Linked DNA regions of Astyanax mexicanus. The protein of the gene in region 1 purifies or fractionates together with the protein of each later gene. This does not show direct contact. Links are inferred from orthologs where the notes say so. Each region holds a gene or a part of one and is shown on either strand. Other genes may lie near its edges.

Region 1 (7,859 bases):
ACACCACAGTGAAAAGGCCAGTGGTGAACAGGCGTATCTCCTCACTATTATGAGTTGTTACCTGAGAGGTGCGCAGTGGGCTGGACAGGTGAACAAGCCGATTATTGTTTTGGGGGTCCAAGTACATGTCAGGGTGCAGAGAGAGGACCTGAGAGAGACCCTCGTCAAGAGAAGTAGCTGTACGAATGGCCCGGCCCTGTTGGAGGAGGAACAGGGGGTTCTGGGGTAATTTTCTCTTTTATGGGGGTCCTCTGTGATTTTATTCCCATCCAGAACGACCATATATGTGCTTTTTTCAGACGTCCATGTAAACACAACAGCGAGTGGAAATGGAGGAGCTACTGAACGTGAGGTCACATGACCGAGAGCCTAAAACCTCATTGGTCCTCCTGTTTTCCAATTGCAGTCCAGATGCACAAGTTTTATCCCTGAATAGGAGTGTGAGAAACTAAGAAACTAATCCCGTCCGGATAGATTTATTTATTTTTTTTACATTAACAGCTAAAATGTGTTGTTATGTAATAAAGAATATACAAGCCCTGCTAAAATGATTAAAGAATAGATATTTGTTTATAAATTAAAGTTTTTAAATAAAAAACTATAACCTTCCCAGTTTTCAGTATACATCTTTTTATTAACATGAGCTGGCATAGGGGCTTTTATTATGAAGCCCAAAATGGCAGAGTAGCTTAACTGCTAAGTGTTTTACAAACTGAATTAATGGCTGATGTTTGATAACAGATAGAAAGATCTGTGCTGGTTAGATTAGTAGGTTCTGTGGATGATGTTTGAACATTACTCTGGTCTTTAGTTATGACAGTCAGAACACCTCCAGGAATTTATCATCTTAATGCAGCCCTCAGGAGGGTTCTGATACATATTCAAATGTGTTTAAAATTATTTCACCATTATTAAAAAAATTATATGTACAAGTTCTCATTTTCACTCTTCTAAACTGATTAATGAATTAATTCTGTGTAAATGAAGGTAAGATTTGGTCTCTGACCTCATTAGTAAACAGCACGTAGAAGGAGAAGATGAACAGGCAGACTCCCACCAGCATCCCCCCCATGGTTTCCCCCAGACGCTCCAGAAAGCCAGGGTTGGGTCGGGTGTGTACACGGGAGTGCTGATCCCGACCCTCTACTCCTGCAAACTAACACACACACACACACACACACACAAACATTAGTCACTGCAGTCACTGCATCCAGAATTGGTGCATTAATACAAGGACAATACAGCAGTGTGTTGTGAATCACATGTGTACACAATACACAATAAACAAAGCATCTTACAAATGTGTTTTTTCTCCCAAAGTCATTTCCCCAAGCACAAGATATCTAAAAAAACAGGATTGAACCCAGAAGGAAATGACAAAATTGAGTGGTGCTGTTTCTCTCTGTAACAATGCCACTTTTGAAGCTCCGCAGTTGACTAACATGGCAAAACACCAAGCAAAATGTGTATTGTTCCTGGGATGATGGCATGATGTTAGCCTGGAGCCCTAATTAGGCAGGTCTTGTAGAGTATGGTATGCAGTGGATAGTACCAATCAGATGTGCTCCAAAAGTGCTATTCTTCATACATAATATAAATGTACCAGGCCTGGTCCTGTACGTGTACACACTTTCAGTGTTTTGCTTTATTGCTTAATTTATATTTCCTACATTTTCTTCTTTGCTATTTATAGATATATGTTTAAGTAAAATAAACATTGTTGTTTTATTCTATAAACTACAGACAACTTTTCTCGAAAATTTTTAATAATAATATTGTCATTTAGAGCATTTATTTGCAGAAAATGGGAAACAGCTGAAATGCAAAGAAAACACGTTTACAATTATAAAATTTTAAGAGTTCAGAAATCAATATTTGGTGGAATAACCCTGGTGGTTTTTAATCACAGTTTCCATGCATCTTGGCATCATGTTCTCCTCCACCAGTCTTACACACTGCTTTTGGATAACTTTATGCTGCTTTACTCCTGGTGCAAAAATTTAAGCAGTTCAGTTTGGTGGTTTGATGGCTTGTGATCATCCATCTTCCTCTTGATTATATTCCAGAGGTTTTAAATTTTGTAAAATTAAAGAAACTCGTCATTTTTAGGTGGTCTCTTATTTTTTTTTCCAAAGTGTATAGTGCAGTACAGTTTATTGCAGTACAGTATAGTACAGTACAGTATAGTGGTAGTATAATATAGTAGTATAGTATAAGTATAGTAGTAGTATATTATAGTATAGCAGTAGTATAGTATAGTAGTAGTAGTATAGTATAGTAGTATAGTATAGTAGTAGTATAGTATAGCAGTAGTATAGTAGTAGTATAGTATAGTAGTATAGTATAGTAGTAGTATAGTATAAGTATAGTAGTATAGTATAGCAGTAGTATAGTAGTAGTATAGTATAGTAGTATAGTATAGTAGTAGTATAGTATAAGTATAGTAGTATAGTATAGCAGTAGTATAGTATAGTAGTAGTATAGTATAAGTATAGTAGTATAGTATAGCAGTAGTATAGTATAGTAGTAGTATAGTATAGCAGTAGTATAGTATAGCAGTAGTATAGTATAGTAGTAGTATAGTTTAGCAGTAGTATAGTATAGCAGTAGTATAGTATAGTATAGTAGTAGTATATTATAGCAGTAGTATAGTATAGTATAGTAGTAGTATATTATAGCAGTAGTATAGTATAGTATAGTATAGTAGTAGTATATTATAGCAGTAGTATAGTATAGTATAGTAGTAGTATATTATAGCAGTAGTATAGTATAGCAGTAGTATAGTATAGTATAGCTGTAGTATAGTATAGCAGTAGTATAGTATAGTATAGTATAGTATAGTACAGTACAGTAGTTATAATGGTAATCAGTGACTTACTGGGACGGACATGGTGTTTTGGGGAGGAACACCCAGAGCCTGAAGTCTGATGGAGGAAGAGGAACTTCAGAGCAGAAAGTCAGATCTCAGCTTCTGATCCTCCACAGGTCCGATTACTCTTCATATAAACCGGTTTAAATCAGATTAAATCCGGATTCTGCAGCTGTAAGCGCGCTGTTTCTGTGAAAGTGGAATAAACTCAGACCGGCTGTGTTTTCGACGCGTTGAATGAACGAAAGTCGCTTGGCTGAGCACTAAGCCTGCTGGGAAATGTAGTTTTACAGCACCGTGAAAGCATTTACTCTGTAGGTGGAAGTGTAGATACTCTTTAAGTAAAAATGTACAAATTCTTGTTTTAAAAATACTTAAAGTATAAAAATAAAAGTAATTTTAAACATGTACAGTGGCGTACACATTTCTTTTGTTTTTGCTTTTTTATTTTAATATCAGACAACTTTAATACTAGACAAGTATAGGATGAGTAAATATAAAAAGTTATTTTTAAACGAAATTCTTATTTATTAACCCTTTTAGACCTGACTTGTTTTCTAGTGATAAAAATAATATATAAAAATGCTATTTTTCTAACTGTAATGCACTCAAAAACACATGAATTAATATTGTATTTTGGCTGTTTATTGCAGTGGAGTCATTTTTTAAAAGTTAGTTATATTTCATATAACTCATCACCACTTATTTTTTATTCTATATATATATTAACCCTGACCTTAACTGAGGCGAGTGAGACCTGCAGTTCTTTAAATGTTGTTCTGGGTTTTTTGGGACCTCTTGGATGAGTTGTTCATGCCCTTTTGGAGTAATTTTGGTCGGCCTGTCACTCCTGGGAAGGTTCACCAGTGTTCCATATTTTCTCAATTAGTGAATAATTGCTCCTTTTCCAGACTGATAAATGATCAATAACCTTTTTTTTCATCTGTTTTTGAATTTTTTGAGATTTGGGCATAATATGATGCTTTTTGAGATCTTTTATCTGCTACATGTTGTCAGACAGGTTTTATTTAAGTGTTGACAGTTCTTGATTCTTCAGGTCTGACAGTATAATAATCAGAAAAATGTAAGTATGACAAAAAATCCAAATACAAAAGAAATCTTTAAGGGGGTAAATACTTTTTCACGCCACTATATATTTAGTATCTGTACATTTAGTATCTGTCACAGGTCAGCTGCTCCAGAATCATTATAAATGACCACATCAGTTCACTGAGGGCTCCTCTATCTATCTCTCACTGGACTCTGAGAGGATTATGTCTTAAAGGATCATGTAATATTACGCGTCTGAAGCTGAAGAAGGTGACGTAGGTATAAACTCACACATTCACACAGTCAGACCAGCTGTACCATCAGTTCCGTCCATCAGAAACCCAGAGCCGGGGATACAGGATGGCAGAGTTTGACGTTGTTGTGGTGGGAACTGGGCTGAAGGTAAGACTGATCCTCCTGATGGTCTACTGAATGTTTTATAGACTGATCAGCTCACATATAGTAGGCCACATAGGGTTAAAAAAATTACCTCTTAACTTCTAACATATTAATAATTTCAACAATATGTTCAACATATTAATATCATATTTTATTTTACACTTTTTAAAACCTCCACCTGCTGTTGAAATCAACCAATAAAAATGCTCTGCATAATGTTATGTTAACATGATTTCAAAATTTAAAGCATTTGTATTGGGCCACCTTCCGCTTACAGTAGTTTAGATCCACCCACTGATGCTGAAGTTATAAAGAGTGTTTTAGCTCTAAATTTGATTACATTATTCAAACATATACTGAAAATAATCTTATTTATTAATTAGTATGATGATTATAGATTTTAGATTAAAGTATTTAGTTCTAACATAATAATATAAATAATAATATAATAATTATTTACCACAACAGTGTAGAAATGAAGAGAGCACTTTATGCAGTGCATATAATTTTACATACAGTTGTTATCTTCCCTATATATTTTCATTTTACATGGTTTTATAGGCTATAATTATAAGTGTATTAGTGTAGTTCAGCCATATACAGTCATTTGCTAAGGGATAAATAAGGCACAAGCTTTAGAAAGATAACAAATTTATTTATTTAGACATTGATTAAAATTAAAATTAAATGTGCAAATAAATGAAAATTGTAGTAAATCAATAAAACACATAATTACAACACACCTCTGCATAAGCCTGTGAAACTTAATTCTGCGTTATTTTATAAAATAATAAATAAATATATTACCATGCAGTAGACAGTAAATGAAAGCGTCTTATTAAAGTTGGCGCAGGTTATAATGAAGCAGTAGTGCTGAGCGGTTTGTGGGATTAGCTCTAATCCTCTACACTCACCGCAGCAGACAAGATGCTGGGAATAATGAGCTGCTGTTTAGAGCTATTTAATATATATTCATTATTCATTTATTATACTGGAAGCTGTGTACATTAAACTTGTATACAATAAAGTTATTTTTTATTTAAATAAACAAACCCTTAAGACTGGTTTAAAACTCAGAGAGCTAAAACTTAAGAACTGAAGCTAATAATGCATGAATTAGCCTAATGTGGACATAATTCCACTGGGTTGCTTCCTTTCACCCTAAACTAAGATTGGACATTTATCACGTCATCACAGCTTGTATAAAAGCTATACATTTATTGACTTTTATTTACAGTATATAAGGAAGACCTACACTTAATAAAGAAGACAATAGACATTTGTTGAGTTTTACAAACTGTCTTTCTAAGCTTAATATGCTTTCCTACTCATTATACATCACCAATTACACAATTTTGGGTGCTTTTAGACATTTTCCAATGTTGTAAACTGTTACACAGCTATCACCAGGCCAACATAGGCCAAGCGTCAAACATCGGTTGGTACCCAACTTCAGGCCAACGTAGACCCGACATCAAACAATGGTTGGTATCCAACTTCAGGCCAATGTAGGCTCAAAGTCAAACATCAATGCCAATCAGGACCATGTAGGCCCAATGACAAACCTCATCGCTACCCAAATTCATTCCAACATAGGATCAAAATCAAACATTGTTCGTTACCCAACTTCAGGCCAACATAGGCCCAACGTCAAACATTGGTTGTTACCCAAATTCATACCAACAAAGACTTAAAATCAAACATCGGTTGGCACCCAACTTCAGGCCAATGTAGGCCCAATGACAAACATCGGTTGTTACCCAAATTCATACCAACAAAGACTTAAAATCAAACATCGGTTGGCACCCAACTTCAGGCCAATGTAGGCCCAAAGTCAAACATCGGTTGGCACCCAACTTCAGGCCGATGTAGACCCACCATCAAACATCAGTTGGCACCCAACATCAGGCAAATGTAAACCCAAGGTCAAACACTGGTTGGCACCCAACATCAGGCCAACGTAGGCCCAATGGTAAACTTCGGTTGGTGCCCAACATCAGGCCAACGTAGGCCAAATGTTAAACATTGGTTGTGCCCAACATCAGGCCGATGTAGACCCAACATCAAACATCGGTTGGCACCCAAATTCAGGCCAATGTAGGCTTAATGTCAAACATTGTTCGTTACCCAACTTCAGACCAATGTAGGCCCAATGTCAAACAATGTAGGGCCACCGACAAAAAAATATGTTCTTTTAACATGATCTGCCAATGTCATGCCAATGTAACTTGCTATCTGGGTTAGTTTTGCAACATTAAGGCCATCCACACAATTTTTGAAATAGAAAACTGTAGAGTTTTATTGATTTATTTAAAATTTGTCAGTGTCAGATCTCTGGTATAGAGCTTTTAAGGCACTTTTTGACCATGTTTCCTCTACAGGAGTGCATCCTCTCAGGCCTTCTGTCTATCTGTGGGAAAAAGGTTCTTCACATTGACCAGAATCCACATTATGGAGGAGAATGCGCATCTTTATCACCCCTGGAAGAGGTCTGTACACACACACACACAATATTCTAATGTCATTGCCAGTATTAGCATTAGCTTACAATATCAGAATATATTTACAAAATGTGTTATGTTTACTTTATTCATGTTTGTTAAACAGGTGTATAAGAGGTTTCATGTGCCGGGGCCTCCTAAAGGAATGGGGCAGGGCAAAGAATGGACCATCGATCTAGTTCCTAAATTTATGATGTCCAACGGTGAGTAAAATCTGTAAAAACTGTAAAAACTGACTAGCAGCAGTTTCATGCTCCTAAAATCCTTTTTAAGACAAATAACTTTGAATGTGTTTTTGATTGTTTATGGAATGAAGTCATGCTGTAACGTGTTACAGGGCAGATGGTGAAGATGCTGCTGTATACGGAGGTGACGCGCTATATGGATTTTAAGGTGGTGGAGGGCAGCTTTGTGTACCAAGCTGGAAAAATTCACAAGGTTCCAGTTACAGAGGCGGACGCACAAGCTTCAGGTAAGACTGATAAATTGGGCTGTATTTCAAATGTATTGGCATTTATTAAGAATAACAAAATAAATTCTAAATCACAATCTTGAAAACCAAATTCATAAAATTAAATAACATAACAGTTGCTAAGATCAGGTTAGGATTAGATTAATATATTAATATTCTGTGTCATGTTGTTGCAGATTTGATGGGTATGTTTGATAAGCGGCGTTTCCGGAAGCTTCTACTGTTTGTTCTGAACTTTGATGAGCACGACCCTCGAACCTTTATGGACATGGACCCCAACAGAACCACCATGAGGGACGTGTTCAAGCACTTCGACCTGGGAACGGACGTGGTGGAGTTTATCGGACACGCGCTCGCCCTGCAGGATGGCGACGAGTTAGTATACACACAGTACCTGAACTTTTAATATAGTACTGTACCTCTTCTTTTAATTGAGTTAGATTATGACACAGTACCTCTATTTTCACTACAGCCCAGTTTCTTTTTCTTTAATCGAGTTATATTATGACACAGTACCTGTATTTTCACTATAGTCCAGTTTCTCTTTATTTAATTGAGTTAGATTAGG
Region 2 (7,761 bases), on another chromosome or scaffold:
AAATCTATCATATTAAACTAGTTCAGATAAGGGGGAGAGAACCATGTTGACCCATCTAGCAAGTTTCCAGCAACAAGCCACATATCACATTACGCATTCCCTTGACTCAGCCAAAGAAGAGACGCAGACTGAGGAGGAGTTGAGAGTCACTGTGAGAAGCTTAGCCATCAGAAAGCAGCGAGTGAGACATCTGAGATATCTCACATGCCATGTTCCATGAAGTACATTCTGTGGCTACCAAAGCTGCTCTGCAGATTAAATTACACCTATAAACACTTGCTTTGTGAGAGTCTTTATAATAAATTATTACATAAATTATATACAGCCAATCCAAGTGTGCAGTTATTCTGTTTAACTGTCTATATGGCGTGGGCAAGACCCCATTTACACCTTTACAACTTCTTTCATTTTCAGGAATATCAGATTTATACTTGGATGAAGCCTGGCCACGTAAAATACAAAAGGTACTACATAAATTTAGTGCAGTTAAGTAGATTGGCATTAGGCTGTTCAAGTAGGTACAGTATATGCTACAAACTCTATAGTAAAAAGTGTTAGTTTTTGCATAATAATGTTTAACAAAGGGATACTCAAAGTACTGTGCACATGTGCTGTATTGCAGGGAGAGGACACACCATTCTGTCTATCCTATAATATATATTTAGTCAATCATGAATGTAGCACAGGTTTTGGCTGCTGCAAGCTGATGCCACAGCCTAGTCATGTGCCCATCACTGGAATTCTTGGGGATCAGTGTTATAAATGCTAAGATCTCTGGAGGCATCTCTTCCAAACAATATTCTATTATATTACATTTCAAATACACATTAGCATTAGCTTAGTTAGCAGATTAATATTGCTTTCTAAGTCAAGTTCCTGGTAACACTCTGAAGTTAAAACAGGTTTTGTAGCAGCAATGTATAATATAGTTAGTATACATAGTTATTCACAAATATGAGCAAAACCATTTTAAATTTACAGTCCAGCTTAAAAATAAACTCTTCATTTTAATGAAATATTAGCCTGAATACTGAAATGAGTGTAGTACTATTAGGAAACCTCTGCTAATATATTTTGAGACTGTCAACAGACATGTATGATTGCATGTGAGTTTTAAGTTCATTGTAGTCCACATAATTGACACTACTTTCCTGTTCACGATAATAGGGGTGGGCAGTATGGGCAATATTTTATTATATTGCGAAAACTTTGTTACACAAAATGCTTTTCTGAAATGATTGGCTCAATTTGATCGGATACTGTCAGTGCTTAAAGAACTAGCATTTTTATAACAACCTGTAATCAGATCTGTCATGCCTTTTTTTCTATTGTCATGTGTATCATGATAAATATTGTATATCTTGAAAATGTTTTATATATATATATATGTATATATATATATGTATATATATATACATATATATATATATATATATTTCTAGCAAAAGGCCCACATATAAATTACAGACTGATGTACCATAAAAGTTACATTTACGTACCTTGCTAAGTCAGTTTGAATAAGAATGTAAATGTGAGCCAGGCAATCATGAGAATCAGTACATATATTGCACCATGCTGCTACTTATAAATGTAGTTTGCATTTGAGGAAATCAAGATATTTTGAAAAAAAAAAAAAAAAAAACTCAGTGGTGATGAGACCATACATTTATGAATCCATGTACCAGGCCACAAAGAATACAGATAAGTCAGTAGTTACTTTAAAGTAGTTTATCCAGATGTGAAGTCTGATTAATCAATGCTGCACCAGATTTGATATAAAATTGCTGTCCACAGAAAGGTATTTCTCTACAACACACACGTCAGTTGTGTGACTCATAATCTGAGCTGCTTCTTGGCCAGAGCTGAATGTCTGCGTTGGTGGCGCACCGTACAAGCAGCACAACTGATTCTGACAGGCAGGGGGGCTGTTTGTGATTTTCTGTTTTTAGACATTCTGCTTCCTGACAAAAGAGTCTGAAGAAGCGTGTACTGTAGTCTACATTTAGTAGTGCCTCTGCATTACAGAAACCCATTTGAGATGTGTCTGTCTCTCAGGAGTCTTCACTATATGCCTGCCTGACAATAGAGAACACATACTGTCACCTCAGACCATATTAGTACTGCTTACTTAGCAATTATATAGTGTACACAAAACAAAACTGTATTGTTTATTTATTGTTTGTTTTAAGTGTTGCCAGGGTACATAAAAATGCTTCTACAACTCCTGCATAACCTTACTGATAATGTTTGGGTCTCCTATACAGTTGCAATCTGAATCTAAAAAATATGATTTGTCTTGTTTAGTTTAGCTTTTGGTCATTTATGTTCCCACTAAAATAAAGGCTGTAGATCCAGAGGTTTACAGGCATAGGGAATTGTAGTAAACTGAGATGTTAGTGTTGTCCTGCCACTTGGATGTTTTAAATGATTTTCACACACTGAAGCAGATTAATGCCAGTTTTTCAGGGTGCTTGTGTCTGTATTAGCTTCTCTCCTTCTAGTTATATAACAATGCTATTGTAGTCAGATTTGTTAAAGCAATTAGCCACACTATAACATTCACATTTTCTGCACTTCATAAATTCAAACAGAACTAAATCCATCTCTTCACCATTTTCCAGGTAAATGACATTGATGGAAGTGACCCTAAAACTCTTCAAAAACCCACTTCAGACCAGCTACCCACAGACCAGCTACTGATTCTTTACTATTTGCTTAACCATTACTATGTTGAAGTTTACATGGATTCTAGCAATCTGATATTATAATTACCTACATGAACCATTATCATTACTTTTACTTAGGCAGGTTGCCAGGTTGAGTACACTGAGCCTACATAAAAGAGCGCAGGCCGAGTTCAATAACTTTTTTGCAATGGCAAGCAATGATGAATCATAACTAAGTACAGTAAGTTAATCAGATGCTTTATACATTTGCAATGTTTTTATTGTGAGCATATTATAATCCAACTTGTGTGGATTTTATATAATTATGTCAACTATTAGCCATCTTGTAGCACCCCTGGCAGCAATAACCACAGATATGTATGTTCTTTTAAAAACAAACCCCACAGAAAATATATACACTTTGGAGTTGAAGTTACTTGAGTTTACAGATCTTGATAGCATACATAGCTCAGTACTTACCATTTAAGTAGAGTGTTTTTTTTGGTTGCATAGCATATAATAATGCTGTTCACTCGCTGGCTTCCATGGCTGCAGCACACTTTGTTTGCCTGCCAATGTGTTTCGTACCTGGCAACCCGGGGTATGGAAAGAGGACTGGGGAATGGGCAGTGGCTGGTATCAGAGTCTAAAACACATACAAATTTAAATTAGAAAACATACTGGCTGAAGCACTGCTGTCAAGAGTAGGAGTGTGCCATAAGGTATTGTAGGCAATAGTATCGCCAAATCTTTTGAATGTCCTTATAGCTAAAGTGCACTGTAACATTGTTCTATTATTTTAGGACCATAAGGGCTGTCAGGGTCCAACTTTTTTGCTGTTAGTTACAAAAGGATGAGATGAGATGCGACCTTTTTTTGTGTCATTTTGTTTTTGGCTAAGCAGTGTATCTCTTCAGTATCATTTATTTTACTTCATTTCTGCACATATGGAGTGTATTAATAGTATCAATTAAAATTAAATATTAAATATTATTGTTGCAATTATTATTTTTTTAATTCAATGTTTTGTCATATCGCCAAGAAAATCGTTTTTGCAAAAATACCATGAAATATTCTGATATAATTTTAAATTATAAAAAAAATAATAAAATATATATTAAAATAGTTCTCAATAAAGACATAAATGATCATAATTGTTTTTATTCGTTTTAGGCACATTATATTTGTCAATACTCTTGACTTGAATGAGGATCATATCACATTTTATGACAAATGTATGCAGAAAACCATGAAATTACCAAATACTTGCCACTGTATTCAGAACCGCAGCAACCTGTAGAATCTCTCTTTCAGCAGCTGCTCGAGCCCACATTTGTATTAGAAACTAATTATTGTTTTTAATTGCAAACAAGAGAGAACTTTGTCTTTTCCCTCATTACAAACTCGCTGGTTCATTTGGGATGCAGTGCTAATTAGTACACAAACACTCAGAGCCCCTGAGTTTAAATCACAGTAGTCATGGTAGAAAAGCCAGAGTGTGGATTATACCATTCACTCGCTCGCGTGGGGGAGACCAGCTCAAATAAACACGAGGAAATGTGACTTTAAACATTTATTTTTTTTCGTTAAAGATTAATAATTTACCTACAGTGGATGTCCATGTTCAATATTAAAGCGTGGTTCTTTTCTGGAGGCTCCAGCTGTGTGTTAAACTGTGTTAAACTCGCTGTAACTTCGGTATATTATGGGCTGTGCTGGGTCTGCATGTCAGTTGCCTCCTGAAGTTGAAGCAGTGCGCGCGCTCCTCATCACCGGAGACCAGAACCATTCACCAGCCCAGACCCCGCCAGGTAATCATTCAATCACATATTAATAACTAACGCTAGTGTGTTCGCGTGCCGGTGTTCTGCCTGTGTTATGCTACCTTGTCAAACCGTGCTGCCCTAGTAGTATATTTAACTTTAAAAATACCAAAAAGAGCATGTTTTCTGTGGAAGTCTTAGTATGTAAATCTTTTGAGAGCATATAGTCTAGATGGAAACAGGGGTCCACGAGCACATAGTGGATTTTTTTTCGCCACCTGTTTTTTCTTAATCTTTAAAGTGTCTATTTTAAGATTCTGACAGGTAACAGGATGAAATAATGTCCCATGACATTTATTTTTAACCCTTTAATGCATCTATGCTAATTCCCAACCGGAAAAAAAATATGAAGAAAATGGCATAGCTCCTTGAGTTAACAACCTATACAGACAAATGAGCACACTTTTCCATACAATTCTGGGCCAAGGAATGTAACGGAATGGTTATTTTTAATTTTTTTCCACATTTTGACTTGATTTTGAGACAAAAATATAAAAAAATAGCAAAAAATTTAAATTTGCCTGTATGTTTTCACATTACACTAAAATCATGTGCATTAAATAAAAACATCTTGGGGTTTTTCTTAATCCTTGAAGTGTCTACTTTAAGATTCTGACAGGTAACAGGACAAAAATGTCCTGTGGGGCTTATTTTTAACCCTTTACTACACCTATCCCAAATCCGAACCTAAAAAAATATGTAGAAATTGGCATAGCTCCTTCAGTTAAAACCTATACAGTCAAATGAGCACACTTTTCCATACAATTCTGGGCCAATGAATTCCATAGAATGATTATTTTGAAGTTTTTTACACGTTTTGCCAAAAAAAAAAAAAATAGCAGAAAATGTTATGGTTGCCTGTATGTTTTTTACATTATACATTATATTCACGTTATTAAAAGTCTACTTTTAGATCCTGACAGGTACCAGGATGAATAATGTAATAAGCTGCAGAACTAATTGATGATAAAATCCAACAATGTACTAAAAATAAAGTATTAGTATAGTGTTGTACTAATAATTTTAATCATCATTATCACCATTGAAGAGATCATCAAAGTCTATCTTTTAAATCTCTGTCCCTTCCTCCTGATCATCTGTCCCCTCTCCAATCAATTCTGTCTCTTCTGCTCTTGCAAAAATGTCAAGAGAAAGAGGGAAGATGGGGCAAACTGACCAGACCGGCTCCAACACCCCCTCTTCCATTGTCTTCTCCCAACCCATACCCTGACCGTAAGGGTTTGGCCTTTCAGATTTTGGCTGATCTGTCCTTTTTTAGTAGGAAACCCTGTAGTTTACTCTGTCTACTTTAAAACTTGCATCCAGGGCTCACCCCATCATCTTTTGCAGCATCTTGGTTCTCACAGCATCAATGGAGGTCAGTTGGCCAATGGACATACATAACATTATCTCCTGTTGGAACTCATTGCTGCCCTGCCACAATGTACCAAGCTGCAGCTTCTTAAAAGAACACTGGTCCAGCATAGTATCCCAGAAAAGTGCTCCATTATTTAGATCCTAGAGCTCCAGCTAGCTCAGAGACATTCACTAGTTTACTATGCAAGCCAGTTCCGGGGTCAAGAAACATGGTAAGGTTAACACTGCTGACATGGTAAAGGAGGTTCAGTAATATGTCAGTGTTCGGGTTCCTCATCACACTGGACTTGTACCCCCACTTTACAGCTTGGTGGAGGTACAGGACAACACGGGTGTCTGTCTCCTCCTGGTTTGACTGCAGGGCGTGGATCTCTGAAGCCTGAACCCTTAAAAAAATGTACAATTTTTAACACATACCTGTATATTGAAGACTCCATTCAAATGTTTTTATAACATTGGATATGTGATGACAGCTAATGTTAAGCCCCACAGGACATTTTTTGTCCTGTTACTTGTCATAATCTTAAAGTTTAAGAAAAAACCCTAGATGTTTTTATTTAATGCACATGATTTTAGTGTAATGTGAAAACATACAGGCAAATTTAAATTTTTTGCTATTTTTTATATTTTTGTCCCAAAATCAAGTCAAAATGTGGAAAAAACTTAAAAATAACCATTCCGTTAAATTCCTTGGCCCAGAATTGTATGGAAAAGTGTGCTCATTTGTCTGTATAGGTTGTTAACTCAAGGAGCTATGCCATTTTCTTCATATTTTTTTCCGGTTGGGAATTAGCATAGATGCATTAAAGGGTTAAAAATAAATGTCATGGGACATTATTTCATCCTGTTACCTGTCAGAATCTTAAAATAGACACTTTAAAGATTAAGAAAAAACAGGTGGCGAAAAAAAATCCACTATGTGATCGTGGACCCCTGTTTCCATCTAGACTAATAAGTATCTGTATCATTGTACAGTTTGTTTAGTTGTAGCAATGAGAGGCCATTACAAATTACTGTATTTTTTAAACAAATTATTGTATTATCGTTAATAATTTTCATTTGCACTTTTGTGCAATGACAGTGAGTCCATGTTGTTTAATGCACAAAAAAAACAGAAAAAAAGATTTATTATATAAAACACGAGAAATAATTAGAAACTGTAGGTCAGCGCATGCGCAGTTCCTTTAGGAAGCACCTATGGATGCGTAGCATAACTCGACGGAACACCGCATGCATGTTTTAGCCACACGTGCTGTATATAGTTATACTACACGGGATTTTGCAAATCTCACAGTTTGAATGGGGAAAGTAGGATCACTTAAAATAAAAAAAATAAAAATGTATATATATAAATATATGTGGCCACGGCTTTTTTAAGGTGTGGGAATAAGATTCTAAGGCGTGGACACAACTTATTAAGGCGTGGGAACGAGATAATTAAGGGTGTGAACAAGATAATTAAGTCGTGGTCACAACTTTTTATGGTGTGGGAAAGAGATAATTCATAGCCAGAGAATAATAAAGCTTGCTTTTCTGTAAATTTTTGCCCATAAAGAAGATACTGAATATCACATCAAAGCTCCAATTCAAGGATACTATTTTGTATATATGAAAATGGAGAGTGAATTGGATTATATTTATTTTTATCTTGGAATAAATTATGGCAATATTTTGGAGTTTCTTGCAGTAAGACATGAATTAATTCTAAGTAAAAGACACTTAATTTGCACTAGGGTTGCAGCGGTAACCGGTTTCACGGTATACCATGGTATTAAAATGCACGGTTATCATACCGTGTGTGTTTGCTTATTACCGGTAAAACGCAAGCCAGCGGAGAAACTCACCCGCGCATGCGCAACTCTGCTCCGCTTCAGCTGCTCAGCACACAGCGGTGA

What was found.
Region 2: the proteins of transmembrane protein 43 (region 1) and bzw2 purify together in Homo sapiens (affinity purification with mass spectrometry; 3 studies listed by BioGRID and IntAct, counting the BioPlex papers as one, with this or other methods). This does not show direct contact. The link is inferred for Astyanax mexicanus from reciprocal best matches to the Homo sapiens genes TMEM43 and BZW2.

The regions. Positions count from the first base shown.
Region 1 is NC_064431.1:31,251,619-31,259,477, forward strand, and holds the start of transmembrane protein 43, read right to left. Parts: upstream 3,134-7,859; 5' UTR 2,891-3,133; coding exon 2,879-2,890; intron 1,157-2,878; coding exon 1,007-1,156; intron 197-1,006; coding exon 62-196; intron 1-61. Other genes in the region: zgc:112334 (rab GDP dissociation inhibitor beta), read left to right, coding at 4,280-4,321, 6,700-6,807, 6,926-7,022, 7,157-7,291, 7,468-7,666. UniProt on the Homo sapiens protein: May have an important role in maintaining nuclear envelope structure by organizing protein complexes at the inner nuclear membrane. Required for retaining emerin at the inner nuclear membrane.
Region 2 is NC_064410.1:44,753,385-44,761,145, forward strand, and holds the start of bzw2 (eIF5-mimic protein 1), read left to right. Parts: upstream 1-4,376; 5' UTR 4,377-4,477; intron 4,478-7,761. UniProt on the Homo sapiens protein: Translation initiation regulator which represses non-AUG initiated translation and repeat-associated non-AUG (RAN) initiated translation by acting as a competitive inhibitor of eukaryotic translation initiation factor 5 (EIF5) function.